7 linked regions of the Canis lupus familiaris genome follow. The protein of the gene in region 4 purifies or fractionates together with the protein of the main gene of each other region. This does not show direct contact. Links are inferred from orthologs where the notes say so. Each region holds a gene or a part of one and is shown on either strand. Other genes may lie near its edges. The genes, in order: CDC26, ANAPC1, ANAPC4, ANAPC15, ANAPC7, ANAPC2 and CDC27.

What was found.
Region 1: the proteins of ANAPC15 (region 4) and CDC26 purify together in Homo sapiens (affinity purification with mass spectrometry; 3 studies listed by BioGRID and IntAct, with this or other methods). This does not show direct contact. The link is inferred for Canis lupus familiaris from reciprocal best matches to the Homo sapiens genes ANAPC15 and CDC26.
Region 2: the proteins of ANAPC15 (region 4) and ANAPC1 purify together in Homo sapiens (affinity purification with mass spectrometry; 3 studies listed by BioGRID and IntAct, with this or other methods). This does not show direct contact. The link is inferred for Canis lupus familiaris from reciprocal best matches to the Homo sapiens genes ANAPC15 and ANAPC1.
Region 3: the proteins of ANAPC15 (region 4) and ANAPC4 purify together in Homo sapiens (affinity purification with mass spectrometry; 10 studies listed by BioGRID and IntAct, with this or other methods). This does not show direct contact. The link is inferred for Canis lupus familiaris from reciprocal best matches to the Homo sapiens genes ANAPC15 and ANAPC4.
Region 5: the proteins of ANAPC15 (region 4) and ANAPC7 purify together in Homo sapiens (affinity purification with mass spectrometry; 3 studies listed by BioGRID and IntAct, with this or other methods). This does not show direct contact. The link is inferred for Canis lupus familiaris from reciprocal best matches to the Homo sapiens genes ANAPC15 and ANAPC7.
Region 6: the proteins of ANAPC15 (region 4) and ANAPC2 purify together in Homo sapiens (affinity purification with mass spectrometry; 4 studies listed by BioGRID and IntAct, with this or other methods). This does not show direct contact. The link is inferred for Canis lupus familiaris from reciprocal best matches to the Homo sapiens genes ANAPC15 and ANAPC2.
Region 7: the proteins of ANAPC15 (region 4) and CDC27 purify together in Homo sapiens (affinity purification with mass spectrometry; 3 studies listed by BioGRID and IntAct, with this or other methods). This does not show direct contact. The link is inferred for Canis lupus familiaris from reciprocal best matches to the Homo sapiens genes ANAPC15 and CDC27.

What each region holds. Positions count from the first base shown.
Region 1 is NC_049232.1:68,042,656-68,046,108, forward strand, and holds the end of CDC26 (anaphase-promoting complex subunit CDC26), read right to left. Parts: intron 1,002-3,453; coding exon 825-1,001; 3' UTR 574-824; downstream 1-573. UniProt on the Homo sapiens protein: Component of the anaphase promoting complex/cyclosome (APC/C), a cell cycle-regulated E3 ubiquitin ligase that controls progression through mitosis and the G1 phase of the cell cycle.
Region 2 is NC_049238.1:36,482,701-36,486,672, forward strand, and holds part of ANAPC1 (anaphase-promoting complex subunit 1), read right to left. Parts: intron 3,881-3,972; coding exon 3,780-3,880; intron 3,216-3,779; coding exon 3,133-3,215; intron 1,862-3,132; coding exon 1,788-1,861; intron 53-1,787; coding exon 1-52. UniProt on the Homo sapiens protein: Component of the anaphase promoting complex/cyclosome (APC/C), a cell cycle-regulated E3 ubiquitin ligase that controls progression through mitosis and the G1 phase of the cell cycle.
Region 3 is NC_049224.1:85,503,116-85,507,087, forward strand, and holds part of ANAPC4 (anaphase-promoting complex subunit 4), read right to left. Parts: intron 3,087-3,972; coding exon 3,012-3,086; intron 2,874-3,011; coding exon 2,847-2,873; intron 2,756-2,846; coding exon 2,711-2,755; intron 2,021-2,710; coding exon 1,936-2,020; intron 1,073-1,935; coding exon 968-1,072; intron 1-967. UniProt on the Homo sapiens protein: Component of the anaphase promoting complex/cyclosome (APC/C), a cell cycle-regulated E3 ubiquitin ligase that controls progression through mitosis and the G1 phase of the cell cycle.
Region 4 is NC_049242.1:26,088,958-26,093,398, reverse strand, and holds the start of ANAPC15 (anaphase-promoting complex subunit 15), read right to left. Parts: upstream 3,129-4,441; 5' UTR 3,072-3,128; coding exon 2,980-3,071; intron 2,960-2,979; exon of another isoform or gene 2,371-2,959; coding exon of another isoform or gene 2,306-2,370; intron 1,862-2,305; exon of another isoform or gene 1,600-1,861; coding exon 1,470-1,599; exon of another isoform or gene 987-1,469; coding exon 927-986; exon of another isoform or gene 606-926; coding exon 468-605; exon of another isoform or gene 326-467; coding exon 266-325; 3' UTR 1-265. UniProt on the Homo sapiens protein: Component of the anaphase promoting complex/cyclosome (APC/C), a cell cycle-regulated E3 ubiquitin ligase that controls progression through mitosis and the G1 phase of the cell cycle.
Region 5 is NC_049247.1:8,456,871-8,460,842, forward strand, and holds part of ANAPC7 (anaphase-promoting complex subunit 7), read right to left. Parts: intron 3,784-3,972; coding exon 3,559-3,783; intron 2,494-3,558; coding exon 2,343-2,493; intron 721-2,342; coding exon 531-720; 3' UTR 1-530. UniProt on the Homo sapiens protein: Component of the anaphase promoting complex/cyclosome (APC/C), a cell cycle-regulated E3 ubiquitin ligase that controls progression through mitosis and the G1 phase of the cell cycle.
Region 6 is NC_049230.1:48,461,857-48,466,540, reverse strand, and holds the start of ANAPC2 (anaphase-promoting complex subunit 2), read right to left. Parts: upstream 2,859-4,684; 5' UTR 2,688-2,858; coding exon 2,583-2,687; intron 2,384-2,582; coding exon 1,761-2,383; intron 603-1,760; coding exon 470-602; intron 1-469. Other genes in the region: SSNA1 (Sjoegren syndrome nuclear autoantigen 1), read left to right, coding at 2,859-2,910, 3,297-3,496, 3,830-3,937. UniProt on the Homo sapiens protein: Together with the RING-H2 protein ANAPC11, constitutes the catalytic component of the anaphase promoting complex/cyclosome (APC/C), a cell cycle-regulated E3 ubiquitin ligase that controls progression through mitosis and the G1 phase of the cell cycle.
Region 7 is NC_049230.1:17,583,823-17,588,295, forward strand, and holds the start of CDC27 (cell division cycle protein 27 homolog), read right to left. Parts: upstream 3,094-4,473; 5' UTR 2,933-3,093; coding exon 2,906-2,932; intron 1-2,905. UniProt on the Homo sapiens protein: Component of the anaphase promoting complex/cyclosome (APC/C), a cell cycle-regulated E3 ubiquitin ligase that controls progression through mitosis and the G1 phase of the cell cycle.

The sequences.
Region 1 (3,453 bases), on a different chromosome or scaffold from region 4:
TGGAGCTTGAACTCATGACCCTGAGATCTTGAGTCGCATGCTCCTCTGACTGAGCCAGCGAGGTGCCCTGGACAGGACTCTAAATTACCCTCTCAGATTGGCTGCGTGTGAAAAATTCTTAGGGCAAGTTGGAAAAGGAAGGAAAATTGGAATGATGGTAATTCTGTTAGGAGCATTCCAATTATTGTTTTCCCTCCACTCTCTGTCCCCCCAAAATTACACTCAGACTAGCTACAAAGCCATCCTGTAAATAGATTCTGGAAACCCATAGCTTGATCACATTTACACAAAATCACTAGAATCTAATCTCCACAAAGGCAGGGATCTTTGATTTTGTTCACTGATGTTACTAACCACCTAGAGTAGTACCTGCCACATTACAGGCACTCAACTAATACTTGCTGAATAGTTGAGCTGAATGAAAGTCAGTGACAGGGATCAACTGGAAGTGTTCTATGCTTCAAGTCTCTCAATAAAGGTTTAAAAGAATGATGTTACTTCTTGTAGCAATTACCTTTTAAAATCTGGGGGTCAACAGTGCTATTATTATAATTTATTAAGGGTGTCACACACTTTTCCAAAAATATATTTATTTTTAAAAACAAAAATCAGACAAGTTTTATACAGTCAAATTTTTCAGAGACAAATGAGGGGATTTCCACTCAGAGCAAAAGTTAAGCATCAGTAATCTCATGCAGAAATATTTCTCTGCAGGAGGTAAAACATTCTGCTTCACTGCAAGCACTCAATTCTCTAAATCTTGTTTGTACTTCTGCCATCATTTTACTCCATCCCAGGGTTCTGGCATGCAAGATAATCTGCCTCTAAAATTCGAAACTTCCAAATTGAGATGAACGATTATTGGGCTTGGGTTGGGGTTTATAACCAATTCGATCATTAATCATTTGTTCCCGGCTCTTGGGGTCACTGCTGAGCCCAATGGCACCTTCTCCATCACTGATTCCTACGACATCCACTTCTTCCTTTTGCTTCTTACGGGTCTGAAAGTATAAAAGTCTTAGGATTAAGGCAATGTTCTTTCCATTAGCAAACAATTATTTGGCACCTACCATGCACTAGGCATAGGGTAAAAGCTGGGATTAGGGCCTTCAGAACAGTAAGCTGAAATCCTAAATTGAAATAAAATCCTAGGTTGAAATGGATAATAGCAGTACAAGGGGGATACAAGGACACAGTGAGAAAAGAGACAACCCCTACCCTCCCAGATGTCACAGCCTAACAGGGAAATAGGAAAATAGACAATGGCAACACAGAGTGATCATAGCTACGACACAGGAAAGTCCACACTGCCAAAGAAACTGAAAGAAGACGTGAGGAGTTGGGTATGTTGTGGCAAAGCTTCAGAGCAGGAAGCTGCGATTAGAAAGATAAATAATATATAAGATGGATGTTACCTGAACCTACTGTGGCCATCAGTTCACAATATATGTAAATCATACCATCGTGCGTTGTGCCTTAACTTAGTGTATGTCAGTTATTTCTCAACAAAACTAAAAAAAAGTAAGTTGGCAGACAAGGGGGAAAGAAAAGCATTTTTTTTTCTTTTTAAGATTTATTTTTAAGTAATCTCTACACCCAACACGGTGCTTAAACCTACAACCTCAAGATCAAAAGTTACAAGCTCTACCAATTGTACCAGCCAGGCACCCCAAGAAGGGTGTTTCTCATTGACAACTATGAGATTAAATGTAAAAACAGGAATATAAGGTTTTATACTATCTTATCAAAAGGACTGAGTTTTGAGGTTTTGTTTTCAGGTTTGGCTCTTGGGGTGCCTGGATGGCTCAATTGGTTGAACATCCACCTCTTGATTTCAGCTCAGGTCATGATCTCAGAGTCATGAGATCAAATCCTGTGTCACACTCCACGCTCAAGCAGGGAGTCTGAGCTCTCTCTCTCTCTGCTCCTCCCTGCACTCTCACACTCATGCGTGTATTCTCTCTAAAATAAATAAATAAATCTTTTAAAAATTTTTAAAAAATAAAAGGTTTGGCTCTTGGGGCACCTGGGTGGCTGAGTCCGTTAACCATTTGACTCTTCGTTTTGGCTCAGGTCATGATCTCACGGTTGTGAGATCCAGCCCTATGTGGGGCTCTATGCTCAGCAGTCTGCTTGAGATTCTTTCTCTGCTCCTCCCTCTGCTCACGCATTCTCTCAAATAAAGAAATTAATTAAATCTTTTTTTTTTTAAAGGTTTGGCTCTTAAATTACAAGTGATTGCAGAATTCACCAAGTCAATATCTCAGTTTGGTCATTCTCCTTTTTTTTTTTTTAAGATTTCTTGAGTATTTTTTTTTAAGATTTTATTCATTTATTAATGAGACAGAGAGAGAGAGAGAGAGAGTGTGTCAGAGACACAGGCAGAAGGAGAAGCAGGCCCCATGCAGGGAGCTCGACGTGGGACTCGATCAGGTCTCCAGGATCAGGCCCTGGGCTGAAGGCGGCACTAAACCACTGAGCCACTGGGGCTGCCCTCTTTTTTTCAAGATTTTATTTTTAAATAATGTCCTCATCCAACGTGGGGCTTGAACTCACAACTCCGAGATCAAGAGTCACACAATCCACCAACTGAGCCAGCCAGGTGCCCCTCAGTTTAATCATTTTCAGAAAGAGGTATTAACACTTATCCCATAACTACAACTATCTGACTATAAAGTTATTAAATAATAATGTTCTCTGAGAGAGTGAACAAATGTTTTATCCAGCATTCCTTACAAGGATGGCTCGACTACTCTAACCACTGGAAACGCTACCATTCTTCACCACTTACTAATGAACTCAGCATTGGAATGCCAATGTCACAGTATCATACTGAACCAAACAAGGCATTACTTTATATATATGTGTGTGTCTATGTATGTAAAATGACCTGAGTTACTCTCTAGTTAGTCTACACTACCAATAAGTAACATTATGACAGCTTAGTGAAAACAGGTTAAAAGGCAAAGGATATTATCATTTCATAAGCCATGAGAAACTGAGAATGTCCAAATGGAATGAAAAATAATTTAAAAGGCTTCCCACCATGAATAACTGCTGACTGTTTCAGAATCCAGAGTCATCAAAATATAATTAAACTAATTTCAGTAACAAATGAAATACCAGTTTCTACTGGTTTCATTTTATTTTAGTTTACGGCAAAACTGTCCCTCCCTAAGTTGCTCTGCAGCAGGTCAAACCCACTGGATAACTGCCTTCAGTAGAAAGACTAGCTCAATAGTGAGCTGATTCTGCAGAGTCAAAGTTCAGTATGCCAACATTTTATGAGACTCATTACAGCTGAAGTTTAAACCATACTGAAAGGACATTTCAGGAGAAGGGAACCAAGTATGCAGAGGCACTAAGATTAAAGTTAAAGATAACTTAAGGTGGAAGATAAAGTGGAGAAATGAGACACAATGGACCTTGTATGCCTTCCTAAGGAATCTGGAC
Region 2 (3,972 bases), on a different chromosome or scaffold from region 4:
ATTTTCATTGCATGATCTACAACATATTGCACCCTTGATGAACCAAAAAGACCTTTAAAGATAAAACAGAAATGATCAGGTATTGAACAATGAACTTTGTAAAAACAGTTCTTTATGAAGTGACTTCCTGTAATTCCTAAAGAGAAATTCAGCCAATTAAGACACAAAATCCATTAACATAGAATCACCCTGAATTTTTAAATTTACTTTGGGCATCAACTTCCTCAAGATACGTAAAGATAAGATAAAAATACATTACCAGTTTCATTCTCACACACATGCAATTACATGTTAAAGATGTATGCTCACTCAATGTCCCATCGGCCACAGGCAGAAGGTCCGTGACCACCCAACAGCTGACCTGTAAACTGCAATCAACTATTCTGCCAAGTTTGACCTCTTGACTGTTTTCTTCTCTATGAAATCTGTCCTCTATAATAACTATTTAAACACAGCTGAACAGTACACCTTTTACTGAGCATACATGCAAAATAAGTTTTCCCTAGTGAGTTTAACTTTTACTTCTATAGTACCCTGAAATGATTTCTATCTATAACCTTATTTGACAGCTTCCTAAATGCTTCCCTCTGTTAAAATACTTTTTAATTTTCAATAATTATTTTATAAAATGAGAGGTATTTTATAAAGAAATGAATAAAAATCACTCGTAATTCAACCATCTCAAAATATCCACTATATTAGGGAGTATTCCTTGTAGTGTTTTTTTCCTACACATATACATACTTTTTATGCTTTTACAAAATTAGAATCACACTGTATTCAGTTTTATATTCTACTTAACATTATGAGTAAGTAATTCCTGAGATCATTATTATTCAAAAGCATGATCAATAATGGCTTCACACCATTCAGTCACAGGCTCTAATGTGTGTAATTAGATAGTCTGTAATCATTACCAATATGATATAGAATTATCAACAAACGTTTTTGTAAAAGGCCAGAGAATAAATAGCTTAGCTTTGTGAACCACATACTGACTGTTGCATAATGTTTTTTTCTACAATTCTTTAAAAAGATAAATACCATTCTTAGCTCATAAGCCTTACAAAAACAAGCTGTTGGCTGGATTTAGCCCATGGGCTGCAGTTTGCCAAGCCCTGATACAGAAGATTAAAATCTTAGTGGAATTTCAGAATATGTGCTTAGGATAAAGTACTACAAGTGAAACCGGTAAAAAAAAAAAAAATAATATATATATATAGAAGTATTTTTTTCAGTTTCCAAGTCCTCATTATTTATAATTACCTATCATATTTGGCCACATTTAAATTTTTTAAGATAAGCATCTAGAAATACTCACAGGAAATACTAAAAGTTCTGCATCTCAGCAAATTAGTTTATTATGAACAGCAAAAATGATTAAACAGAAGTCTATGAACCTATACTTTTTTTCTCCAACAACAAAAAACAATTTTAGTTCATCTAAGTATTATTCATTTACTTATTAAGGAATTACTGAGGAACAGAGTCAAGAGTCATCTACAGATAGGTTAGCAAATCTATCAATATTCCTGATTGATTATAGGCCCTATTTTTAAGAAAAGAATAACTATTAAAACAGTTAATACTGTTTCAATAGTTGGTATTAAGTTCTTGCTTTAATATAAATTTTCATAATAAAAATGTTCAAACTACATTATTTCTATAAAACAAGCCAATTAAAAAAAAAAACAACTCTATTTTCAAAAAGCTCCTTCATTTCCTCCCATCTCCTAAACTCAAAAAAAAAAGAACGTATATGAAAGAATTTATAAAAATACACTTACTTCCAGATTTACAAACAAGTGGGGTTATTTCATCTAGTGGATGCAGCATGCTGAACATAGTGGGTAAAGGTTCTCTAGTAATAAACAAATAATCAGTGATCACCAACACAGAATCATTCCATTTGTACGCAAATTATGCACTTTTTTCCTGCAAAGAAATATCTTCTCCAGAATATACAAGCAACTAGAAACCTACCATCTCACAAAGCAAGCCTCTAAACGTTTTACAGTATCTTCTATTTCATTCCTGGAAATCGGTCTTCTTGTACATGGTAATTCCATGCATGCACACACACAAGGAAATCAATATAGCCCAGGAAATCTCTACAAACAGCAGTCATCACATTACAGAACCAACGGAGTAATAAGCATAAGGCAGTCTTCTTTTTTCTTTTTTTAAACCTCTCTTAGTGGCAGTGTGTCTTTGGCAGCTAAGAAACAAATTTAGTGTCCTACCTCCATTTACAAAGTGTCCCACCCCCAAAAAAGGAAGAAAAACTTCAAGTAAATAAAAAGGCTGCATTTTTTTAAGGAATGATTAAAAAGGAGAAAAAAATAGGTCTTCTACCTAAACACAGAAAGATTAAAATCTATAAGCAAATTTTTAAAACCAGTGTCTACTACTTGCAGCAGACTATGACAGGTACTGGTATGTTACTGCCCTTCAGTAAGCTCACAATTTATTAGGAAGACAAGGTAAACATGCCACCAATAAGCATCTACCATTTATTGTGCACCTGATATGTACTAAGTCCTACATCAAAGATTATGTGCATTAGCTCATTTAATCTTTGCATAAATCCAAGAAGTTAATGATAGTACTTTTGTAACAGATAAGGAAACTAAAGCTAAGAAAGCTGTAATGACTTGCCCATAATAACACAATGAAACAATGACAGCTTTAATAACAGAGTCTTTTTTATCCTTCAGTATGTGCTTGTTTAATTTTACTATGGAAGGGAGAAGGGAAGCAGTAGATAATGAAATGCCAAAACAGAAATAGAGCTCATAAGTATACAATATTGAGATAAGAGAAAATGGCATTTAACTACGCCGTTAGCATGGAAATTATCATCACCTTGAACTTTTTTTTTTAAGATTTTTATTTATTCATGAGAGACATAGAGCAGCAGAGACATAAGCAGAGGGAATAGCAGGCTCCCCGCAGGGAGCCCACTGCAGATCTCCATCCCAGGACCCTGGGATCACGACCTGAGCCAAAGGCAGACCCTCAACCACTAAGCTGCCCAGATGCCCCCATCATCCTGAACTTTTAGGTAATTTTACCTCAAAACCAACACCAAAAAAAGCCCAAATAATATACTGAACTGAGTAAAACGAATACCTGGGTGGACCTGGAGGTACCTCATGTGTAGAACTGCTTCGTTCAAACAATAATCCATATTTGGTGGGCCAAACATTTGCAACCTATCAGGTAAAGGACAAGAAAAAACAGAAGTAAAAGAAATTACTCTATATAATATGTGCTTAGGAAACTATAAAACATTAGATTTTGTTCCAATGTAATAGCTTTACAAAACAATGTGATCATTAACTATATTTTTTTAAAGTTCAAGACAAAATCAAACCTAAGAAAGAATTCAATCAGAAATTCCTGCCACTGGCTAGTAACAGTACCAAAATGACAATGTGATAAAATTTTAATATAACACTAGGTATAAAAAAGATGGTGAGAAACAGGAAAAAGACTAATTTTGGTCTTGTGCTTTAATATTACAATCTTTTTATTTTTTATAAAAAAAAATTCCATAATTCGCTTCATTAAAAAATTTATTTTTTATGCAAAGGATGGAAAAACAGTAAGAAGTAAAACTGTTAAAATTTGGTTACTTTATCTGAATAAAAATGACATTATTGATTACTACAAAGCATAAGGATAGCAAAAAAAAAAAGGATAGCAATACTTCTGCAACCAATTAATTCAAGAATATTATACAACTAAACACAAAAACAGTAAAACACTCGATTTACCTGAAAAGGTAAAGAAGCTATGTAATCTTTTCCTTCTACGCTATGCATGTTAATACATGAGCTTTGCAATATACATATGCATTTTTCTACTTCATTGCTACCTGAAAAGAAAGGATACAACAAGATTTATGGTTTTTTGTTTGTTTGTTTTTTCAAAAAAATTTTTTTCAACAATCACAAACTGCAATTTCCA
Region 3 (3,972 bases), on a different chromosome or scaffold from region 4:
TCTTAATCTTAGGATTGTGAGTTTGAGCCCTGTGTTGGGTGTAGAGATTACTTAAAAATAAAATCTTAAAAAAAGAAAGAAAGAAATCTAAGGAATATTTTCTTAAAGGCAAGGCTATAATCTAAATACTCTACAGGAGATCACATGGTCTCCACAATCTACAATACAAACAGCATACAGTACAAAAGATTTTTCCCAAAATTAAGTGATCATCTTACACAAGAGGCAATGTGTTGGTTAAGAGAACTGACTCTGGAGCCATACTGCCCAGTATCACTTACCAAATGAGTGATACCGAGCAAGTTGTGCAGTATCTACTTATCTATAAAATGGGGATAATAATAGGACCTATTAGGTTGCTGTGAAGATTCAAATGAATTATTACTGAATCATTCAGTACTTGGTACATATTAAATAATTAAGAAATCTTAGCTTTTATTATTATTTGGATCAGACTCCTAAGAATATATCTGGTATAGGGATGCCTGGGTGGCTCGGTCAGTTAAGCATCCAACTTGGTTTCAGCTCAGGTCACAATCTTATGGGTGGTGAGATCCAGCCCTGTGATGGGCTCTGTTGTCAGCACAGAGTCTGCTTGTGACACTCTCCCTCTCCCTTTGCTCCTCCTCCTGCTCACACTCTCTCTCAAATAAACCTTAAAAGCACACACACACACACACACACACACACACACATTTGGTAAAAGGTAAACTGTACAGCAACCAATTAACATGGTCATTAATAAACTATTAAAATACTGTTTTTATAAAAATACACTGGGCCCTGGGAATAATAAAGTGTTCACTAGAGTAAGATTCTATATTTGAGATTTAGAAGCTCCAAGTTAGTTCTTCTTCTTTTTTTGCTTTAGTGACCATTAGAACCCAAAGATAAGGATAATAAAAACCTATAAAACCTTAAAAAAAAATATATTTACTCTCTGCTACTACAAGATTTCCACACTCACCTGAAAGTATGAGACCTCTGAAGCACCACCAGCGGAAACTTCTGTGACCACTGATAATGATTTCAAATCACTGGATAAACATAATGCAAGACAAGTACCAACAATCTGTAAAAGAGTCAAATTCCCCAGTCTACTTAATATTATTGCTAGACTGCAGCTGCTTACCATACAGAAACAAAAATTCACAGAATCCTACAAAGCAGAAACACTCATGCCTGACGCCTTCCATGTGTATGTAGGAGATGCAAGGTGTGTATCCACCCAGTCCACATGGAGAAAGACAGACACAGACATAAACACACACACACAGACCCCTCCATCAAGGGTCCCAAATCAGATGCTGGAGAGCCTACAGTATATTTCGTCCCCCTCAGGAATGGCAAGAGTAGGATGGAAAAGATGAGGAGAAGACCAAGACTTAGGAACAGTGACAGACCTGGTACTAAGTATAAGATCGCTTCTCATGATGTTCATCACATTCCCATCAAAACTGTAGCTCTCACCCTGACTACAGGCTAGAAAAACATTACATCATAATCAAGTGTATTGTATCAATCTTTTTGTTAAGAAAAACTTGGCTCAGCAGTTGAGCATCTGCCTTCGGCCCTTCGGCCCAAGGCGTGATCCTGGGGTCCCGGGATCGAGTCCCACATCAGGCTCCCTGCATGGGGCCTGTTTCTCCCTCTGCCTGTGTCTTTGCCTTTCTCTGTGTGTCTTTCATGAATAAATAAAATCTTAACAACAACAACAAAAAAGAATAGAAAAACTTGACTAATTCCACTAATAGCACAGATACCGTATGACGGCTATTTTATCTTCATAAGAAAATTAGCCTCTTAACATTTATAAATGAATAATTCTAATAACTGAAACAAGAAAAAAAAAAACCCAATGTTGTATTCTTTTTTCATAAATCAGGTAGTACATTCTAAGAGAAATGATATGGAAAATTTTAAAGGAAAACTTACCCCTGTGACTCGAGCAATTTTGAACATTCCATATGCATAAAGCTCGATAAATCCAGAACTTCCTCCAAGGACAAGAATATTAAGCCTAATTAAAAGTAATGTAACAAGCTGAGGACAACAGAGAAGATTGAGTTCTTAAACCAAGATATAAACTGTTCTTGCTCTCAGATAATCTGCATGCTAAGGCTCCCCTGTGGGGAAATTGAAACACCACACAAATTCACCAGTTCTCAATATCCAATCATAGAGGGCTTATTCTTTTTCTCAAAGGGACATAAATTTGCTCTAGCTTAAAAAACATCAGTTTATAGTAAAACAAGGCCACAGTATTTTAATGAGTGTATTTTTTTTTAACAACGACTGTATTTATACACTCTCGATAACACGATCCTTTTCCCAGTTAATACAAAGTGCCGTCAGTTGTATCATGGCTCTGATACTAAATGTTCTACAAGGGCTTAAAAAAACTTAGAATATTTAAATTTAAATTTTAGAAACTCTAATAACTTCTATCCTCTTTTACTTTTTATTAAAATAAACAAAGGTGCAGTATAGTATTATTGAACTTGACACAAAGACCATACGATAAAAGCAAGTATGTAACAGAGGCTAATGTCTGTATATTATTCTGAGGTGTTTGTAAGCAGAAAAATAAAAGGATGCACATAAAGTAACTGCCCTTGAAACTCCAAACTGCCCTTGAAACTCTGTCACAAGTATCAAACATCACCTTAAAGAAGTTAGACTTGTTATTTAAGATATTTGCAAGATTTACCTGACGTCTCCCAAAAGCTTAATAATTTCATCAGAATTTTCTTCACTAAAATATAAAAAGAATTGTGTTACCTTTCAACTACATCTTTCAATTAATAAAAGATTATTTTACTTGAAAACAGAAAAGGTATACTTGCCTAAAAATTTTTGAGGTGTTGCTGTAACTGGAGAAAAACAGAGACTAGTGTAAAAAGCAATAGAAATATATTTTTTAAAACACATGAGAAAATTATCAGTGTTCAAGGTAAAGGAAAGAGAAATCTACAAGACAGATTCTAATGAAATTAAACTCTGATACTTACTTTTTTGGCAGTGTGGGTAATTTAGGTAAGAGAAGATTTGATTCATCCTCAGCATTATAAAAAGATGTTAGAACACTGAGAAGAAAAGCAAAGAAGAGCCATTACAAAAGTACCAAAGATTTTACTTGTTTTCCCATTAAAAAATACTTTTATAAAAAATTGCCCAGTTTTAGACATTATATATATTACCAAGTAAACAAATATCACACGTATTTTAAAATGGTAAAGCTCTTCTAAGCATTGATACATTCACATGACTATTTGCAACTGTTGTATCTATGAATTTCAAACACTGAGCTAGATCCTTATTATTCAATTTTTTATCAACCCCCTTAGTTAATTTGAAATTAACTTAAAACTTAATTAGAAAAGAAAAATTACTGTTAAGAAAATTATCACATTTCCACATTTATTTTCAGTATTAGCTAAAGCCACTCATCCTTTAGGCCATCTTGAGTGCAAACCTGGTATATGACTTGAATGCAGAGTAAGGGAAACTTATTTTCATGAAACCAGGAAGGTGTCAGGACCACAGACACAGAAAGAACTCATTCAGCATCAAAACAGAGTACTCAGGGGCACCTGAGTTAAGTGGCTGCCTTTGGCTTAGGTCATGATCTCAGGGTCCTGCGCCTAAGCCCTGCATCAGGCTCCCTGCTGAGCAGGGAGCCTGTTTCTCCCTCTTCCTGTGCCCCTCCCTCTGTGCTCTAGCTTTAATAAATAAAATCTTTAAACAAACCAAAAACAATAACAACAAAAACCCAGAGTACTCAACACTTTTTGTACTGAGGATGTTTACTAATAAGATGCCAAAAACCCCCAAAACTCCAAAGGAAATAGACGGCAAAAAAAAAAAAAGAAGAATCTCAACTTGCTAATAAGTAACTTTAGTTTCTATTACTTAAAAGTACAAATCACTATCATATGATCTCACTCATACATGGAATTTAAGACAGATGAA
Region 4 (4,441 bases):
CTTTATTCAAGAGAGTTAGAAAGAGATTATACCTGGCAACCAAAGGGTGAGGTACTAGGCAGAAAGGTGGGTTGGGCTCAGGCCCTGGGGAATCACGGGCAAACTGATGGCCTGGGAGGAGCCAAGGAGACCAGTTCCTGGCAGCAGCTGAAGAGATACCCAAGGGTGAGCTTTCAGGCACTGGGGCAATCAGCTGGTTCTGCAGAGGATGCAGGGTAAGTTGGGCTGGCCTGGAATTTACCTGAGGCCACCCTGCCTTGTCTACCTAGATCATCCACTGGTCCTGATCCTGTTCGTTGCCTTCCATGTCCACCTGGAGAGAAGGCTGGGTGTGGGTGGGGAGGGGCCTCAGCCACCCAGCCAGCCCCAGTCCCAGATCTTGCCCGTCTGGCACCAGAGTCTCTGTACCTCTTGGCCACCAATTAGTTAGGTCAGGGGCAGGGGCCCTCCCCCACACCTCTACCTACCTCATTGACCTCTCCATCATCTGGTGACTCATTGTAGTCATTCATCTCATCCATGTCCTGCATATCCTCATCATCCTCTGAGTCCTCTTCACTATCCTCGTCGTCATCTTCATCCTCTTCTTCTTCATCATCATAGTGCTGGTGAGGCAGGGGAAAGACTATAGGCCCTATAAGAGTGCCTGGACCAGCTCAAGGTCCACTTGGAGCCAGTCTTTGGGGCCAGTGCATGACCCTCCATTCCCCAACCTTTCTCTGTTCCTTTGAGTCTAGCAGGCTGATGCATGTTCTATAGGACCTTAGTGCTGGGTTCAATGGCCACCACTCTACACCCTCTTTATAGCCTCCATCCAGAGCTGAACACCACAACCGCTCTGAGGTCAGAGGCAGGACCTTCAGAAGTAGAGCAGAGCTTTAGTCCACCTGGGCTCCACACAAGCCCTACCTGCTGGAACCACTCACCTCTGAGGCCGGCTTGCCAATAGGTACCAGGTTGTTGTCTTTCTCTGCAATACTCTGGAGCTGTAGCCAAATCAGGTGGAGAGCAGAGTCAGAGCCTGAGCAGGACAGGTCAGGGACATGAGACTGGCCTACTCTGCCCCTGAGAAGTCCCCTCAAGGGTGAAGCTTCCTTCCAGTTGCCAGAAAGAGCCAATCTCTTTGTCTCTTATCATCTGCCACTTACTTATAAACTCGATCCAACTACGTCAACTCTCTTAGGAGGAAACTGTGGCCTCCTAAGATGATGGTGAGGGTAAAGTGAGAGACTATCAGTCTAGAATAAGGCACCTACTAGGACCTCAATAAAGTCAAAATTATTATTTCTTATGTTTCAGAGGAAAGAGCCTTGGCCTCCAATCTGGCTCAGAAGTCTCACGGGCCCACAGTAAGTCAGGGTAATACAAAGATGTGAATCTAGGCCTCCTGCCTCCCAGCTTGATTGTTCCCAGTTCAGGGCAAAAAGCTCCTCCAAGAGGCTCCACCACTGTGCTAGGTCCTTACTCACCCAGGCCTGATGCTGTTGTTCTTGCTGCTGCAGCTCTGTCTCCTCCACACAGGGTCGATCCAGATTAAACCACAATGTCTCAGTCACACGGGGGAAGAGTGAGGGAAACAAGGTGGACATGGCTCCTAGACTGAGGTAAAGGGCCAGGTGAATCCAGCTGTCAGATGTGTTTGGTTTTGGGTTTTATTTGGTTATAGTTTGATTTGGGGATGGGGTGGAGTAGAAGGTAGCAGGGAAATAGCTCTTCTCTGTGGGAATCAAACAGACCTGGGTTTGAGTCCTGGCTCCACCACTTACTAGCTGTTTGACCTTGGCCAAGTCACTTAACCTCTATGAGCCTCAGTTTCCTCATCTGTAAAATGGGGGGAATAATAACAATTATACCACCCTCATACTTATTCTGATAATTTACTTTATGGAGAAGTAAAGTAGTTCAAGGGGAGGCGTGGAGGGGAATGGAAGCCAAATGTAGAGCTATGAATCCAGAATGCAGACTGGCATTACAAAATCAGAGGCAGCAGGGCTCCTCTGGTCCTATCCTTACCTCCTCCAAACACTAAGACCTACTTTTTGCCCCTCTATGATGATCCATACCATACTTACCCAGTGTCAGAAATTTAGGACACTAACCACCTCTCTCATGAACCAGCTAAACTGGGGTGGGGTGCAGCAGGGTTCAGGAAGACATTCTAAAGGCATGAGTAAATGAATGAATAAGTAAATGGAAAGCTGAATGAACTAACGTGAATGGATAATGTAAATTCGGCACGGATTAAAAGCAGCTGAGGGGGACCGGAAAGGTCCCAGAGAATTTGAATTAAAACCTTTCAGCTCACAGGAAAATTGAGGCCCTGCGACAGGCAACGACTGGCTCTAGGTCACAAGTGAGCTGGGGCATCATATTCCGCGGGGAAGAAATCGAGGCCAGGCACTAGAGGAGATGAGCAGGAGAAATAGACCGACGTCTACTTCTGCTTTTGCCCTAAACTCATTTAGCCGATCCCGGGCCCGCCGCTGCCCTTCCGTGAACCTCAGCTTCCCGGGCCGTGTCAGCAGCACAACTAGCCATCCTCACTCCCGGCCGGTCGTAGGAGAGGCCAGAGCCCGAGGCTCCGAAAGCCCCCCCCCTCGCCGCAAAGCCCCCGCCCACTCTTTGCTCATTATGATAATGACCGCGGGGTGGACCAACACGAAGAATGCAGGGGCGGGATTCGAGCAGGCATTTACCCTTATAGGGCTGCTAATCGCGAAAGGAGCGGGGCCTGAATGGGGCCAATTAACTGGGAGGAATGGTGGGTGACAGAAACGGACACCAATGAGGGACGGATCTCGGGCGACTGGGTGGGGCTTAGCCTCGAGGAAGCGGCCAATGAACTGGAGCTCTTTAATGTGGAAAGGAGTCGGAACGTGGAGCCCCTGAGAAGCCGGGTCAGGACCGCGGGGGTCCTCCGGGAGAGGGAGACGAGAAGGGGCAAGGAGACAGAGGCCGCAGCCTGGCTTCCGTACTTACCGCGCCAGGAGGCGGCAGCCGGCGGCGACCCGGAAGCACTTCTCTCTGCCCGAGCGGAAGAACCCACCAGAGCCCGGGAACCACCGACGCATGCGCCTTTGCTCTCCTTTTGTTTCCCGCTCCCGCCCACCCCACCGGATGTGACGTTACACACCTCAGTCACGTAGTTGAGGTTGGAAATTTGCATACTCCGTTGGCCCCTCCTTGAGCCTCCGCCCTTCGGCTTCCCCTGTCTGCCCGCCCCCCCGCCAACGGCCCCATCGAACCCCGCCCATTCGTCCCTAGCCAGGATCTGCTTGCCAAGCCCTGCTGGAAAATAGCTGGCAGCAGCTACCTGCTTTAGCACTGGAACTCTTTGTCCTGCCGCGCGTCCCAAGAAAATTCGTTTGCTTCTACCCCCAAATCGCGGGGCGATATTATGCCCCTTCTGTCTGTCTTTTCTCACCCTCAGCTTCTTGGTTGGTGCATGTATGTATGACTTCAGCAGAAATAGTTGAGTCCCTACTGTATTCCAGGCTCTGCTAGAAGCTGGGGATGAATCTAGATCACGGTCCCTGCCCCCGTAGACCTCACAGTCCAGGGGAGAAGCCAGGCTCCACAGACCCACAGTGGACTCAGCGGTTTCTTACGACTGCCTGTCCAGCTCTGCATCTGAGTTCATGTACGGGTTTCAGTGACCAGTCAGCCTCAGGACACCACTTTTGGGGAATTCAGTTGCCCTTTCCGGGACTGGTCTAAATACCTTTAGTGGTCAGCCTCGTCATCTCTCCCAGTCCTTTGTTGATGAGTCTGTTCTGGTAACCGCTGAGTCAGCCTCCCCTTCAGAGATCATGCCTTCTGTCAAACGGCAGTTCTTCGAACCCAACCCCCCCATTAAGCTCCATCACCCACCAGCCTCTTCTAGAGCTAGCAATCATCCCTGATTCTGCTCCTGACCACTCCAGATGTGTGAGCTTTAACAAGTCCTTTTTCCACCCCGGTCTGGATTCAGTTTCCTCTTCAACCATAAACTTCATAAACTGCGCATCCTTCCTCCTATCCTGGACTGATGTGAGGATTTGGTGAGACTACATGTTTAAGTGGTAGTGTACTGTGTATGTTAACGTGATTGTGTTTCCAAGCAGTTCTGGTAGTCATGAAGCTTTTCATTAAAGAATAAAATTTGGGGCAGCCCCGGGTGGCTCAGCGGTTTGGCGCCGCCTTCAGCCCAGGACCTGGTCCTGGAGACCTAGGATCGAGTCCCAGGATCGAGTCCCACGTCGGGCTCCCTGCATGGAGCCTGCTTCTCCCTCTGCCTGTGTCTCTGCCTCTCTTTCTGTGTCTCTCATGAATAAATAAACAAAATCTTTCTTAAAAGTGAAGAGTAAAATTTGCCTCTTGGAAATGTCCACCTTTTTCATTCATTCATTCTACAAGTACGTACTTAGTGCCTTACTATATGCCTGTCACTAGTCTAAGTAGT
Region 5 (3,972 bases), on a different chromosome or scaffold from region 4:
AAATAGCAATTGTCAGCTTAAGGCATTACTAACATTGCAGAAGGGAGCAGGTTACTAAGGAAGTTTGGACAGCTCAGGATGATGATTTCCGGAACAGGAAACCCTCTCTGAAAGGGCCAGCCCATGCTGCTGTCTGACATGGGAGAGGACACTCTTGCTGTGTGACAGATCACTCCTTTAAACTCACCCACAATGTCACAGACAAAACACTGTCTATTCCTCAAGCTTCAGATTTAGAAATTAGTTATATAAAAAGCACTCTGTCCCAAGAAGCCCTGGCACATCTGCAGGCCTCCCAGAGAGCTCACTCGATCCTCCCTGACTGGAGCAGGGGAGGACAGAGATATATGGAAGGTTGGTCAGGCTCAGTTTTTAAAAATGAATTCACTACTAGAAATATGGAGCAAGAGGTAGAGACCCCTGCTGCAATTACATGCGGAATCATTGTCCTCCCAGAGAGCGGGCTCCTCCGGTCCACGGAAGTGCTCAGAGCAGGGCAGGCCAGTGTGGCCACAGAGCTGCCGCCTGCCTCACTGCATGCCGAACCACTGCTCCTGGTCAGCCCACTGGGCCGCCTCACTGTCGCTGCCCTCCAGGTCCCCTTCTTCCCCACTCCCTTCCATGTCGTCCACATCCTCCTCCTGAGTGGCATCCGTGGGACTCTCCTCCTTCTCCATCTTCTGCATCCCCTCTAGAGACTTCTGGTCATTGGGGTCCAAACTAGGGGACAACAAAACAAAGGAGAGGCCTGAATCTCTGCCTTGCTTCTTGCTGGCTGATGCGTCATCTCCCTGGCACAGCAGTGAAATGACCACCCAGTCACAGAGAAACTGCTAATGCCTGGCCTCTCCAAACAACTCTGGTTCCACAGGCAGGATCGAGGGACTCCACCACTAGAAGTGAAAAAAGGTATCTTGTCCTAATTTTTAGCATTCTCAATTTGAGTTTTTCTCCACATATTTCTTATACATTTTCAAACTTATTACCCCAGCATTCTGCTAGAAGAAGATACTAGGTAACACAAATGAAAAACCAGCAAACAATCATTAATAGACAAATTCAAATGTAATTTAACAGCGTCGGATTTTTAAGCTACAAAGTTACAAAAAAATATTTTTCTGTGAGTGAAGTTGATTCATGTTTTTATGATATAATTAACCATATCAGCATTTCAGTAGTCAAGCAAAATTATCATGCTTACCATGGAACACATTTGTCAACTACTAGGTTAGACTCCAGGACCCAAAGCTACCCCTACCCAGGCATTCAAGTTTAGCACCTAAGAGTCCTAATACATGCCCCAAACCCCAAAGTTCAGAGGCTCAAGAACATTTAGCTTGGCTTCTAAGCAATTCTTCCTCCTGCCCCTGTAATTATTATCAAGGCCAGGAGGTGTCCAATCGCTAGCAAATTTAACCTCTAATGGGTCCTCTGTTCCTACTTACACAACTGCAGATTGATTCGTAAGCTCTTCTCTGAAACCCTCCATACGGCTCTCACCCACACCCAGGGCTCCCCACCCTTGGGACTCCCACTTTGCTTTCTAGAGACTGCTAGAAAGAACTGTATTTATTATTATGTGGCATCATCCAGTCTACATGCCTGAGACTGAGAGCTTTCGGAATCACAGCATACGCAGTGGTTACTGAGATGCCAGATGCTCAACTGCTGAATAAGTAAATGGATGCGAACAGACTCAATTAGAGACAGGCCTTCACCGTAACCTTCCAGACACACAGACAACCCTCAAAGAAATCACTTCTATATTAAACAGTAAGAATATCACTATTTATTTAGTATTTACTATGTACCAGGCACACCACTAAGAGCTTTACACGGAATAATAATTTAATCCTCATGGAATCATTCAATACCTATTAAGGTAGATATAGACATGGAAACTTGTAACTTGCCCGAGATAACAGGTGAAAGTAATATTCAAACTTCAGAGCTTAGGTTCTTTACTACAGTAGGTAGAAACATGGGAAAGTACTTACAATACTTTGATTTGAAAAAGCAGAATATAAAATATATACTACATATACCCTATAAAAATATGTTTATGTGTGGGCAAGACCAGGAATATGATCTACACAAATGAAAACAGATGATATAGTGATATGGGCTGGTTATGAGTGAAACAGTTTTTTAATGTTACTTATAATATACTTTATGAAATTTCTTTAAGATATGAGCTCACAAATAACTCTTCTAATCATTACTATAATTACTCTTTTCAATCATGGGCACAAACGTGTATGTTTCCAGAACTCCTGTTACACAGTTCCCTGCCTCGTCTTCCCCTCATTGACCTTCCCCCCCATGGGAGGCTAAGTGCCTACCTTAGTGCTATACTATATTGGTCCATTGCCTCCTGATACTCATTGACAGCTACAAGGAAATCTCCTAGGATCCGATGCAGGACACAGTCACTCTGATTAGCTAGTGCGTTCCTCAGCAAAGCAATTCCATCTTCATATTTCTGCTCTCTGCCTGCAAAGAAAAAGATCCTCATTTTCCTTCTTACACAACATTTTGAAAATACACTCCCATCCCAAATCATATACACAAAACCACAACACTCACAATCTAATAATCTCTTTGTAGATGTCCTTAAGAGAACAGTGGTATGGCAGGAAATAAGAATAAGCTCCTATGAATTCTTATTCCATTAAGAAATGTTCAGCTTGAGTGGTGTTTAGGTGGCTCAGATGGTTAAGCGTCTTCCTTCGCATTAGGTCATGATCCCAGTCTGGGATCAGGCCCCACATTGGGCTGCCTGCTCAGCAGGGAGCCTGCTTTTCCCTCTCCCTCTGCTTCTAATAAATACAATCTTTTTTTTTTTATTAAGATTTTATTTATTCATGAAAGACACACACACACACACACACACACACACACAGAGGCAGAGACACAGGCAGAGGAAGAAGCAGGCTCATTCAGGGAGCCCGACACATGGGACTCGATCCCAGGTCTCCAGGATCAGGCCCTGGGCTGAAGGCGGCGCTAAACCACTGAGCCACCCAGGCTGCCCATAATTACAATCTTAAAAAAACAAAAAAGAAAAGAAATGTGCAGCTTGAGTTCTGATTTTTTAAAATATACTCTTAACCTAAGTTCAAATAAAAAGCCAAAATGCATTTTATTTTCCAAACTAGCCCAAACCCAGGACTTCATCATGAATCAGGACTAAAAACACCAAAGCTAAAAGGAAAATCATAAGCAAATTCAGATGGACTGAAAAACAGTTCTAGCCGGCTAAAACTAGTTCTATTCAGGCCAAACTAGTACAGGACAACCAAAACAGATGAAAGTGAGCTAAACAGGTACGAACCAAGTATAGCTGGTTTGAACCACTCAAAGAGTAGTGCCAATCCAAGTCAGTCTAAGATAGCTACATTTGGTTGTGCTAAATATAAACCAATTCACATGGGCTCAAACCTACTGTAAAAGGCACACACATGCCTGGTTATCTATAACCAGCTAGGACGAGGAAATCCAAATGACACCAGGTTTAATACAATTAACAAAAAAGGGAAGTAAATAAGATACACTTACTAAGTAGTTCTGCTTTTTTCACCACAGCCTTAATGTAATCCGGCCTTTGGGTCAGGGCTTTATCTAATAAAGTTTTGGCTTTTTCCTGTGTCACTGGGTCTTCAAGACAAACAGTAGCTAAAAGGGTAAGGGTCTGTGCATTTGCTCCTAGAGTTTTGTAAACGTTGTTAGCCATTACCATTGCTTCACGAATACTGTTTGAAGCTAAGTAACATTCAATGAGACCTGAAAAAATAGAACAGAAAGTTCAACCACATTACCATTCTAAGCAATGCTTCCACCCGGACAGCCTTCCAAATTGCAAACCTTCAAAGCTTCAGAGAAAGGGCAGGCCAGGGGAAAACTGATATTAACTGGAGAGCATGTTGATGGAGTAAGAAATGCTCTTCCCCAGAGCACTTCAGGGACGTGAAA
Region 6 (4,684 bases), on a different chromosome or scaffold from region 4:
AGACCCTCACTGGGACACCCCAAACCTTGGCACAGCCTCCAGCAAAGTGACTCTGCACAGACTGTGCTGAGCATGGCACGGGGGGTCTCTTGCTGTCAGTAGGGCCAGCCTCCACTCAGCACCAAGACAGCTTCCACCACCCTCCAGGTCTTGGTTCACCCATCTCCATACACTCTCGCCGCTTCTAAAACCAGGGGGTGAGACACCTGGGTGGCTCAGTGGTTGAGTGTCTGCCTTCAGCCCAGGGCATGATCCTGCAGTCCCGGGATCGAGTCCCACATCAGGGTCCCTGCATGGAGCCTGCTTCTCCCTCTGCCTGTGTCTCTGCCTATCTCTCTCTGTGTCTCTCATGATAAATGAATAAAATCCTTAAAAAAAATAAAAAATAAAAAAATAAAACCAGGGGTCAGGTTTGCTAGAAACCTATTCTACAGTCCGCAGGGGATAGGGCCTAAGAGGCTGTCCTTACCTTGTGGAACTCACGCAGGAAGGAGCGCTCATACTCGCCCCGGCAGCGGTCCTCCATCCTCTCCCTGGTCACCTGGTGCAGGGTGGTGGTCACAGCCTCGGCACTGACCCGCTCCAACAGACTGAGCCTGTGTCTGGAGGAGAGCCCTGCCCGTGGAGCACATAAAACATAATCCTTTCCCCCACCTCCCATGCCCTCTATAACAAAGGCTTCAAATAAGCTGCTGGGAGGACACAGCCCTGCCCTCCCCAGCTGACTTCCCTGACTGGGCTGACACCCTGGCCTTCCCTGTGTGTGTGGTGGGTGTGGCTCTCAGGGCCAAAGCCTCATCTCCCAAATGTGACTCTGAAACAATAGCTAAACACATCCCTGTCCTGGTCACATGTATAGAAGTCCTCAGTTATGCCTTTTGGTGCAAACCCTGGTCAGCAATGGCAAAGGGAGTCAAGAGGCGAGGAGAAAGCATGTTTCTGTGTCTGAGATGAACCCAGTGAAAGCCATTCAGGGCTCCCTGACCCCTGCCAGCAACAGGACCACTCCCTAACAGCTGCACTGCTGTTGCTTCACTCAATGAGACAAAATTGTTATAAGCAACCACAAAGGACAAAAGGTCAACAGGTCAGAACCTGGCTTTAATAACAACAAAACCCTTTCCTCTTTAAAGACTGGAAAGGGCAGCCCTGGTGGCTCAGCGGTTTAGTGCCGTCCTCAGCCCAGGGCCTGATCCTGGAGACCTGGGATCGAGTCCCACGTCAGGCTCCCTTCATGGAGCCTGCTTCTCCCTCTGCTTCTCTCTCTCTCTGTATCTCTCATGAACTAATAAAAAAAAAAAAAAAAAAAAAAAACTGGAAAGACAATCTGCTTGCCAGCATGTTGGCCTAATCCCCAGCTCGTCCTGGAAAGCATAAAAAAAAAATCTCTCTTTTTTTTTTTTTTGCAATTATAGGAGAGGATAACTATCTTCCCTTCCCTGGAGAGCCTACAGAAGACACAGCAGACTTGTATGTGACCGGAAATCTGGAATCACATAGGGTCTTGGTGTGCACGCAGTGTGAAACCTGAGATTAGCGTGAGTGGCAGAGATACTTGTTCTTTTTATCCAGGACAAAGAGTATAAATTCACAGCACAGGGACCCTGGGGACTGTCCCTTTGTAATGTCCAGGACTGTCAGGGCAGAGATGCCCCCCTCCCCAGAGCCAGCTCACCAGCTTTCTGAAGAGGCCGCTGGACCCAGGAAAGTAATCTAGAGTCAAGAAGAACAGGGAAATGGCCACAGCCACAAGTACTCACAGGACCTGGCTGAGCTGGTGAAACTGCTCCAGGGCCTGGCGGCACCAGCATTGCTGTTTGTCACTGCCACACCCCGCACACAGGGGGCTCTGCAGAAGTCTGTAGTACCGCCGGCGGGCGTACCTGCTGTCCAACTCCCCCTCTAGTTCCGGGTCTGTGCCCCCTTCCCCCTTCCTCTTACTCTGCATGTAGACTCTCAAAAACCGCCCGTAGAGGCGCTGAATCATCTCCTGAAACATTCTGGGAGTGGAAAAGAACAGGACGCCCCGCAAGGTGGTATGGACTTTCTCCCGAAGCCCCTGAGCGCCTGCGCCCATCAGCAAGCCCAGGCGAGTCCACTTCTCCAGCAGCTCCAGGCTACGCAGGTAGGGGTCCAGGCGACTCTCCAGCAGGCCGAAGGCGTCAAGGAGCAGCAGAAGGCACTGGGGCTCGTCCGCACAGTTCTCACGCTGGGAGATGGTATTCCAGAACTCGAGCGAGATGTGGGCCTGCAGGTCGTTCTGCAGCACCTCCACAAACCACTCCTCCAGCACCGAGTGCAAGCCGTGGCCCCTCAACACCTCCACCGCCGCCCGGAGCTCCTCCTCCTTCGGCGGCACCGCACCGCTGGTGCGGGAGGACGCCTGCGGTGCAGAAAACCGTGAGAAGGGAACGCGGAGGGACGCGGAAAGCGCGGGGACGGACGGGGAGCAGTGGGGAAGGGACGCAGCGGAGGGGAGGCTGCGGCCGACGCCAGGTAGGAGCTGTCCGGGAGCACAACGCCCACCCGGCGGACGTCCCAGGGACCCCGCGCGGGCCCGCTGCCCTCTCCCGGGGCCTCACCAGTCCGAGCGCGGCCGGCGGCACTAGCCCGGTGCTCACGGTGTTCCAGGCCAGCAACAGCTCCTGTGCGGGCCCGGGGTCGCCGTCGCGCCCCGCCGCCGCCATCTGCGCGGCCCCCTCCAGGTCCCCCGAGCTCCGGGTGCGGCGCGCGGCGATGACGCACACGAGCGGCGCGCAGCGGTGACGTTTCGGAGGGCGCGCCGTCGGACGCACCGCGCAGGCGGGAGCGGCGATGCAGTAGCGGCGGTTGGGGTGGTCGCGGCCTGGGCGGTCACCATGACCCAGCAGGGCGCAGCGCTGCAGAATTATAACAACGAACTGGTCAAGTGTGAGCGGCCTCGCGGCGGGGTCCGCCTGGTGGGCTGGGAGGGCGCGGGGCTCGCCGGCCTGCGGGTCCAGGCGGTGGCGGGCCTGCCGCGCGTGGCCCAACGGGCTGCACCGTCCGTGCGTGGGGCCTCGGCCGGGACGGCGCCGGGGGCCTTGCGGGCGAGCCAGGGGGACAGCCGCTGTGCCGCTCGCCCGGGCGCCGGGTATCTGCGCAGTGAGGGACAGAGCGGAAGGGGAGAGCGTGCACCGCCTCCCGCCCCCCGCACGGTCCAGGGTGCGAGGGGTGCGCACCGTCCAGTGCACCGGGCACGCTCCAGAGTGGGAGGGGTGCTGTGCTCCCTCCTGCCCTGGGTCCACAGCGTGTGCCCTCCCGCTCGCCCATCCCAGGCATCGAGGAGTTGTGCCAGAAGCGGGAGGAGTTGTGCCGGCAGATCCAGCAGGAGGAAGACGAGAAGCAGCGGCTGCAGAATGAAGTGAGGCAGCTGACCGAGAAACTGGCTCGCGTCAACGAGAACCTGGCCCGCAAGATTGCCTCTAGAAACGAGTTTGACCGGACCATCGCGGAGACAGAAGCCGCCTACCTCAAGGTGGGGCTGGGGCCCCGGGGGAGTCTAGGGCCGGCCAAACGCAGGGGCGACAGGATCCCGGTTAGGTGTCAGTGAGGCTGTCGGGGGCCTGGCAGGTCAGGAGTCCTGTTTTCTGCACCATTGTCCTCCCAGACCATGAGCAAAGAGCGGCCCCGGGCTCAGCTAACCTAGACTGGCTTCCCTGGGGTGCGAGGAAGGGGCTTTGGGCTAGTCTTAGGGGGAACGGGCCCTGCTGACCCTGTCTGACCTGCCCTTCAGGGGCTTCATTGCACTGCTGCCCCACAGCTCAGTGCTGGCGAGGAGTGGTGGTGACCATCCTACGTCTGTTTCCAGATCCTGGAGAGCTCGCAGACTCTGCTTAGTGTCCTGAAGAGGGAAGCTGGGAACTTGACCAAGGCCACAGCCTCAGAGCAGAAGAGCAGCGGAGCTAAGGACAGCTGATGGGGCCGTTCTGGGGAGGGGCCTGCCTCTACTGTGCCCGGCAGTGGCTGGGCCTCCGACTATCCTCAGCGTCTTTACTCTTTTTGGCACCAGCTGCCCCCTTTCAGTGTCTCAGGTACCAAGAGGCTGTTGCCAAGCTCCACCTGCCCCAGGTGACAAGGAAACCTCTGGGCACGTCCCGGCCTTGTACTCATGCAGGACTTGGGGAGTGCAGGCTCTGGGTCAGTTCTGTTCAGGGCCTGAGGTCGCCACCACCCCCCATCCCGGTGCTGCCAGAAAGGCCCTGCTCCCTTGTCTCCACACCATGAGAGTGGCCTCACCTTGCTGCCCCAGCCAGGGAAGTGGGCAAAGGGCAGGGGCCCTGCACCTCAGAGCTTGTCCTGGTGGCATGTGACTGTCAATAAAGCTTAGGTTTGTAAAGATGCCCTGTGGCCTGTGCCTGGAGTGCAGAACTGCTGGACACCTCCGGAATGAATGAATATGAGCCCCTGCCCAGCTGGGTATGGTTCATCCTTGGATGAGGGAAGCCTGGACTGGCTTTCCCTGTGCTTTTGAAAAGAGTTGAAGGTATCCTTGAGCATCTCCCGAGACCTTGTCCCCCACCCTTTCTCCCCACCAGGGCTGCTGGCCTCTGGTCCCCAACTGCACTTAACCTACTGCCCTGGAGGTATTCTGCCCATAGCTCCCAGTCCGTGCTGTTCCCTATTACCCAGCACGAGGTCTGGCCCAGAAGGATGCCCTCTTTTT
Region 7 (4,473 bases), on a different chromosome or scaffold from region 4:
CTTCAAGTCTAAGTTATTTGAAATATGGTACCCTTTGAATCCATGTTAGAATGCTGTCACTGTAGGGGTACCTAGGTCGCATAGTCATCAGGTGTCCAATGCTTGGTTTCAGGTCAGGTTGTGATCTGAGTCATGTCTCAGGGTCATGGGATCAAGCCCCACCTCACCCCCATAGCCCCATGTCCGGCTCCAAACTGTGTGTGGAACCTGCTTGGGATTTTCTCTCCCTCTCCCTCTGCTCTCCCCCCTCTCTCAAATAAATAAATAAATCTAAAAAAAAAAAAAAAAAAAAAAGATGCTGTCCCTGTATATCTTATTCCAAATCAAAAGTATTCCTTCGTTATCTAAATGATCTCTAAAATAGTATTATGTGTATAGTACCCACTTATTATACTGATTAAGGCAATTTTTACAAGCCTTGTTTACTACTTCATCTGACACTTCTGTGAAGTTCTACCCCCAGGAATAATTGATAAGTCCATTAATGTCTTTTTTTTTACATCAATTTCATCAGGTGAGTTTTATAAATATCCAAATTAACACTAATTGAAGTCATTTAGGCTAGTGTCTTCCCCAAACAATTATATTAAAAATAATTGACAGAATTTCTGCCTCCTAATAGAAGAGATGTATGTAAAGACTCCTATATAAAGTAATGCTTTTCTATGAGAGACAATTTGGAGAAGGAGCTAATATTTAAGCTTATGTGGTTTATGAGATTGGCTATTCCACAGTAAAACTTTAAAGAAAAAAAACTGCAGAAAACAGTTGCTTATCTTTCCTCTCAACTTTTTCCTATGCCTAGTAATATCATGATTCCTTCAACAATTTTCCAACTTACTCTTCCTTTACAAGTACAATTACTTAGCATAGTTTTAAAAAACCACATAAACAGTATCTGTCCTATTTTTATTTTCTCCCTAATTCTTCCCATTTTCAGCCCTATCCCCAATCCGTCGATCTTTATCATCATAGCTAAAATGGCTTTTTTCTCCCACTGCTCCAGATCCTTTCTTGAGTGGATTCTTTTACTATAAATTACAACCAAAATTCTCACGTAGTCATATTGTAGTCATAGTCCCCAAATCTAATGGACAAAGGTAGTGGGGGGTGAGGGTGGGGACGACAAAATTGACTTTCAAGCCCTTGAAAATCCTGAAGTGCCTTACCACTAAGAGTACTTTAAGGAAAAAAGAGTAAACCTGATGGGTGGTACATCGAGGAAAAGAGTAAACCTGATGGGTACATCGAGGAAAGGAAAAGAGTAAACCTGATGGGTACATGGAGGAATAGGCTACATATTTCTTTTCTTCTCCATGTTTTTATACAAGTTGAAATTGTCATTAAATAGTGGTTATAGGCTAACAATGAAACTAGTTTATCATTTGAGAAGACTTCTGGGGCCAGAGAAGGCAAATGTATCATTAGTTAAGACAAAATTACAAGAATATGAAACAGAAATTAAACAACTTGAGTGATCTGCTTATCCATTTAAGAAGGTACAGATAACTTCTAATCCCACATTAGGCCTCAAAAAAATAATCTTAAAAGAGACTTCACCAGTAACATGAATTTCGATGGCAAGAAATAGCTCTGGAAGCATTGATACAACTTACAAACATAAATTTCCTGAGAGAGAATCCCACATTATATTAGTTCAAATACCAAGAGCGACTATATGTGAAGAGCTGTATGTAAAGAAGAAGCCAACTGGGAGAAATTTCTATTTCATCCTGTGAAAGAAAAATTAAGGAAATACGGAAGTGGTAATCTATTTAGAATATTTATCATTTGACATCACAGGCCTATTAAGGGTAATATGAAGTGATTTCTAAAATCGATTTGCCTTGTAACTTCAAAATAAAGAAAGCCCATAACTCAATGACAGCAGTTGGTAGAGGTCAACTCTTCTATTCAAACCAAAGATCCTATGGTGAGTGGAAAGTCTCCCAGACCTGGTCCATCAGGAAGGGACAAAAGATTCAGTTTCTTGAGATGGCGGGGGGGGGGGGGGGGGGCGGCGGATGACTTGGCACTGCATCACACTTCAAATCCAATAGGGTTTCTCCCATGCCAACAGAGCACTGTGCGTCAAAGCATACCCTGGTGTCGTAAGCACAGTGAAATGGATGTAAAAACCCTGCTCGGTCTTTCATTTTCCAAACGCCTTATCAACATGCACAACAAAACATTCCTGATCCCCATCACAGGTCACGGGGGAAACCCCCAGATTGGCCGTTGCCACCCCTTCCCCCCACCCCCAGAGGTGCTTGCCCCTCAGCACTGGGCCTTGGAGTTCTCTTCCCAGATCATTGTCCAAGGGGGGTGTAGGGGGGGTGGAATCCACTGAGCAAGAAACGCACAACGTGGGCTAGGACGTCTGTTGCCAAAACAGAAATGGATTAAAAATACCGATCCTATAGTCCCTCCACCCTCTCCCAGAGCACAAAAACAAAACCAAACAGCCCCTCCGCCAATTTGCCCCACCATTACGAAGGTGGCACAACCTCTGATCAGATGTGCTTCCCAATCATCCTTTGGGCGAGGGAGCACCTGGGGCGAGTCTCCGCCGCCCCCCCTCCCACCCCTCTCCTCGTCTCTCACTCGGGTCGGGGCCAGGCCCCTGCACTGACAGGAGGGGCTGGCCGGACGACGGACCGGCGGGGGAAGGAGACATTATCGCCGAACCGCGCTCACACCGCGGGGGGAAGCAACGCAGGACCTGAGCTAACACGGCTCGGGCTGCGGCCGAGGCCTCGGAGCCGACGAGCAGGCAGGCAGGACCCGGCAGCAGGGGAGGCGGGAGAAGCAGCCGGGCCTAGGCCGCACCAGGCCGCGGAGTGGCCATACGCGGCTTCCCGGCCGAGGCTGCGAGCCAAGCCTCAGCGAGCGACGTTATCATTACCTGGACGGGTTCCTGCAGCACCGTCATCCTTGAGGCTCAGGCCCACTTTCTGCAGTGCCTCAGGCCCCCCCCGTAGCGGCTCCGGCCCGGCCAGCCCCGGCTCATTTAAACTCACCAGCGACCGTTACCGGGGGATGGGGGAGGCCGAGCGATTGCCGAGTACCTCCGAGCGGGACACGGAAATGCCCGAAGTGGAGAGATCGGCGCGGGAGCCAGACGGAAAAGCCCGAAGGAGGCCGGAAATGCCCGAGGCCGATCGGCGGAGGAGGGGACCGTTGCCGGAAATTACCGAGAATGCCCGGATATTACCGACTCCGATCCAGAGCGCAGTTTTCTCCTCTCGGCCACGCCTTCACTCACGCACGCCACGCCCAGTCGGCCCCCCGAGGTTGGGCCACGCCCAATCGGCGACCCTGGGCGTGGCTTGCTGAAGCGGGCCGGGTGCGTTACGTGCCCCGACTACGGTCTCCGCTCGCCGCTCCCGCTCTCCGGATCAATTGGTGTGTGGTAGATTAAGCAGGAGGGTAAAGCACGAGAGTTTGGGGCTGACTTTAATCAAGAAGTGTTTTTTTGAGTTTAGTTCGTTCCTCATTCCAGAAGTACCTATATAGCACGGCTCAAAGAGAAATAGGAAATTTGGAAGGATTGCCGCCCGTCAAAGACTTGGTTTGGACCAGGGCTGTCCACACCGAAGACGTCACTACGATGTTACGTGATGCCCGTGATGAGTGACGTCAAAATTAAGAGGAGAGGGAACTAAATTGGGATTAAGATGAGGAAAGTTTCAGGGAAGGGAAAAGGGAGACAAACTGGATTCTGAAGGATGGGTAGAATTAGAAGAAAAGACTGGTAAGGGAAGGGACGCAGAAGTGAGATCAGTCCGGTTAGAGTTAAGGCATTAGCTGGAAATAATTACTTAGGTGACCAGATGATGGAAAATCTCAGAAGGCTGACAGAATTTTTTTTTCCTGATAAGGAAAAATTTCCTGATAATTTTTTTTTTCCTGTGGCATATTGGGAAATCCAGAGGCTTGATTCTAAATTTTACCTCTGGCACTAAGTTTTAAGTACCGAGGCAAGTCACATCTCTGAACATCTATTTCCTTAGTCTGAAAAAAAAAATGACTAAAAGAATTAAATGCATGGATGTATGTTGGTGTGTCTAACACACATAAGAGGCTCTCTCAGATTTCCTTCCCATTCCCCTTACCCACCCCCACCCCGCCGAAATGTGTGAGCCAGGGAACTATTACAATTTTGGGGTTTTTTGGTAGATGATGAAAACACGTTTAGAAAGTTAATTGTCCAATCAAGACATCTCAGTTGCTAGGTGAGGAACTCATGGTATATCCTGTTATGTAGGAATTTCCCTTTCTGGGTCTCTCGTTTTATGCAGATGAAATCAGGTTAAAATGGATTACTTCCCTTAGGTGATGTTGAACGAAGGGTTGGCTTGTTTTGTTTTGCTTTGTTTTGCTTTGTTTTGTTTTGCTTTTGTTTTGTTTTTGTTTTGTTTTGCTTTTTTTTTTTTTTAATACTAGCTAAGAGAGCTATATCTTTCACCACCA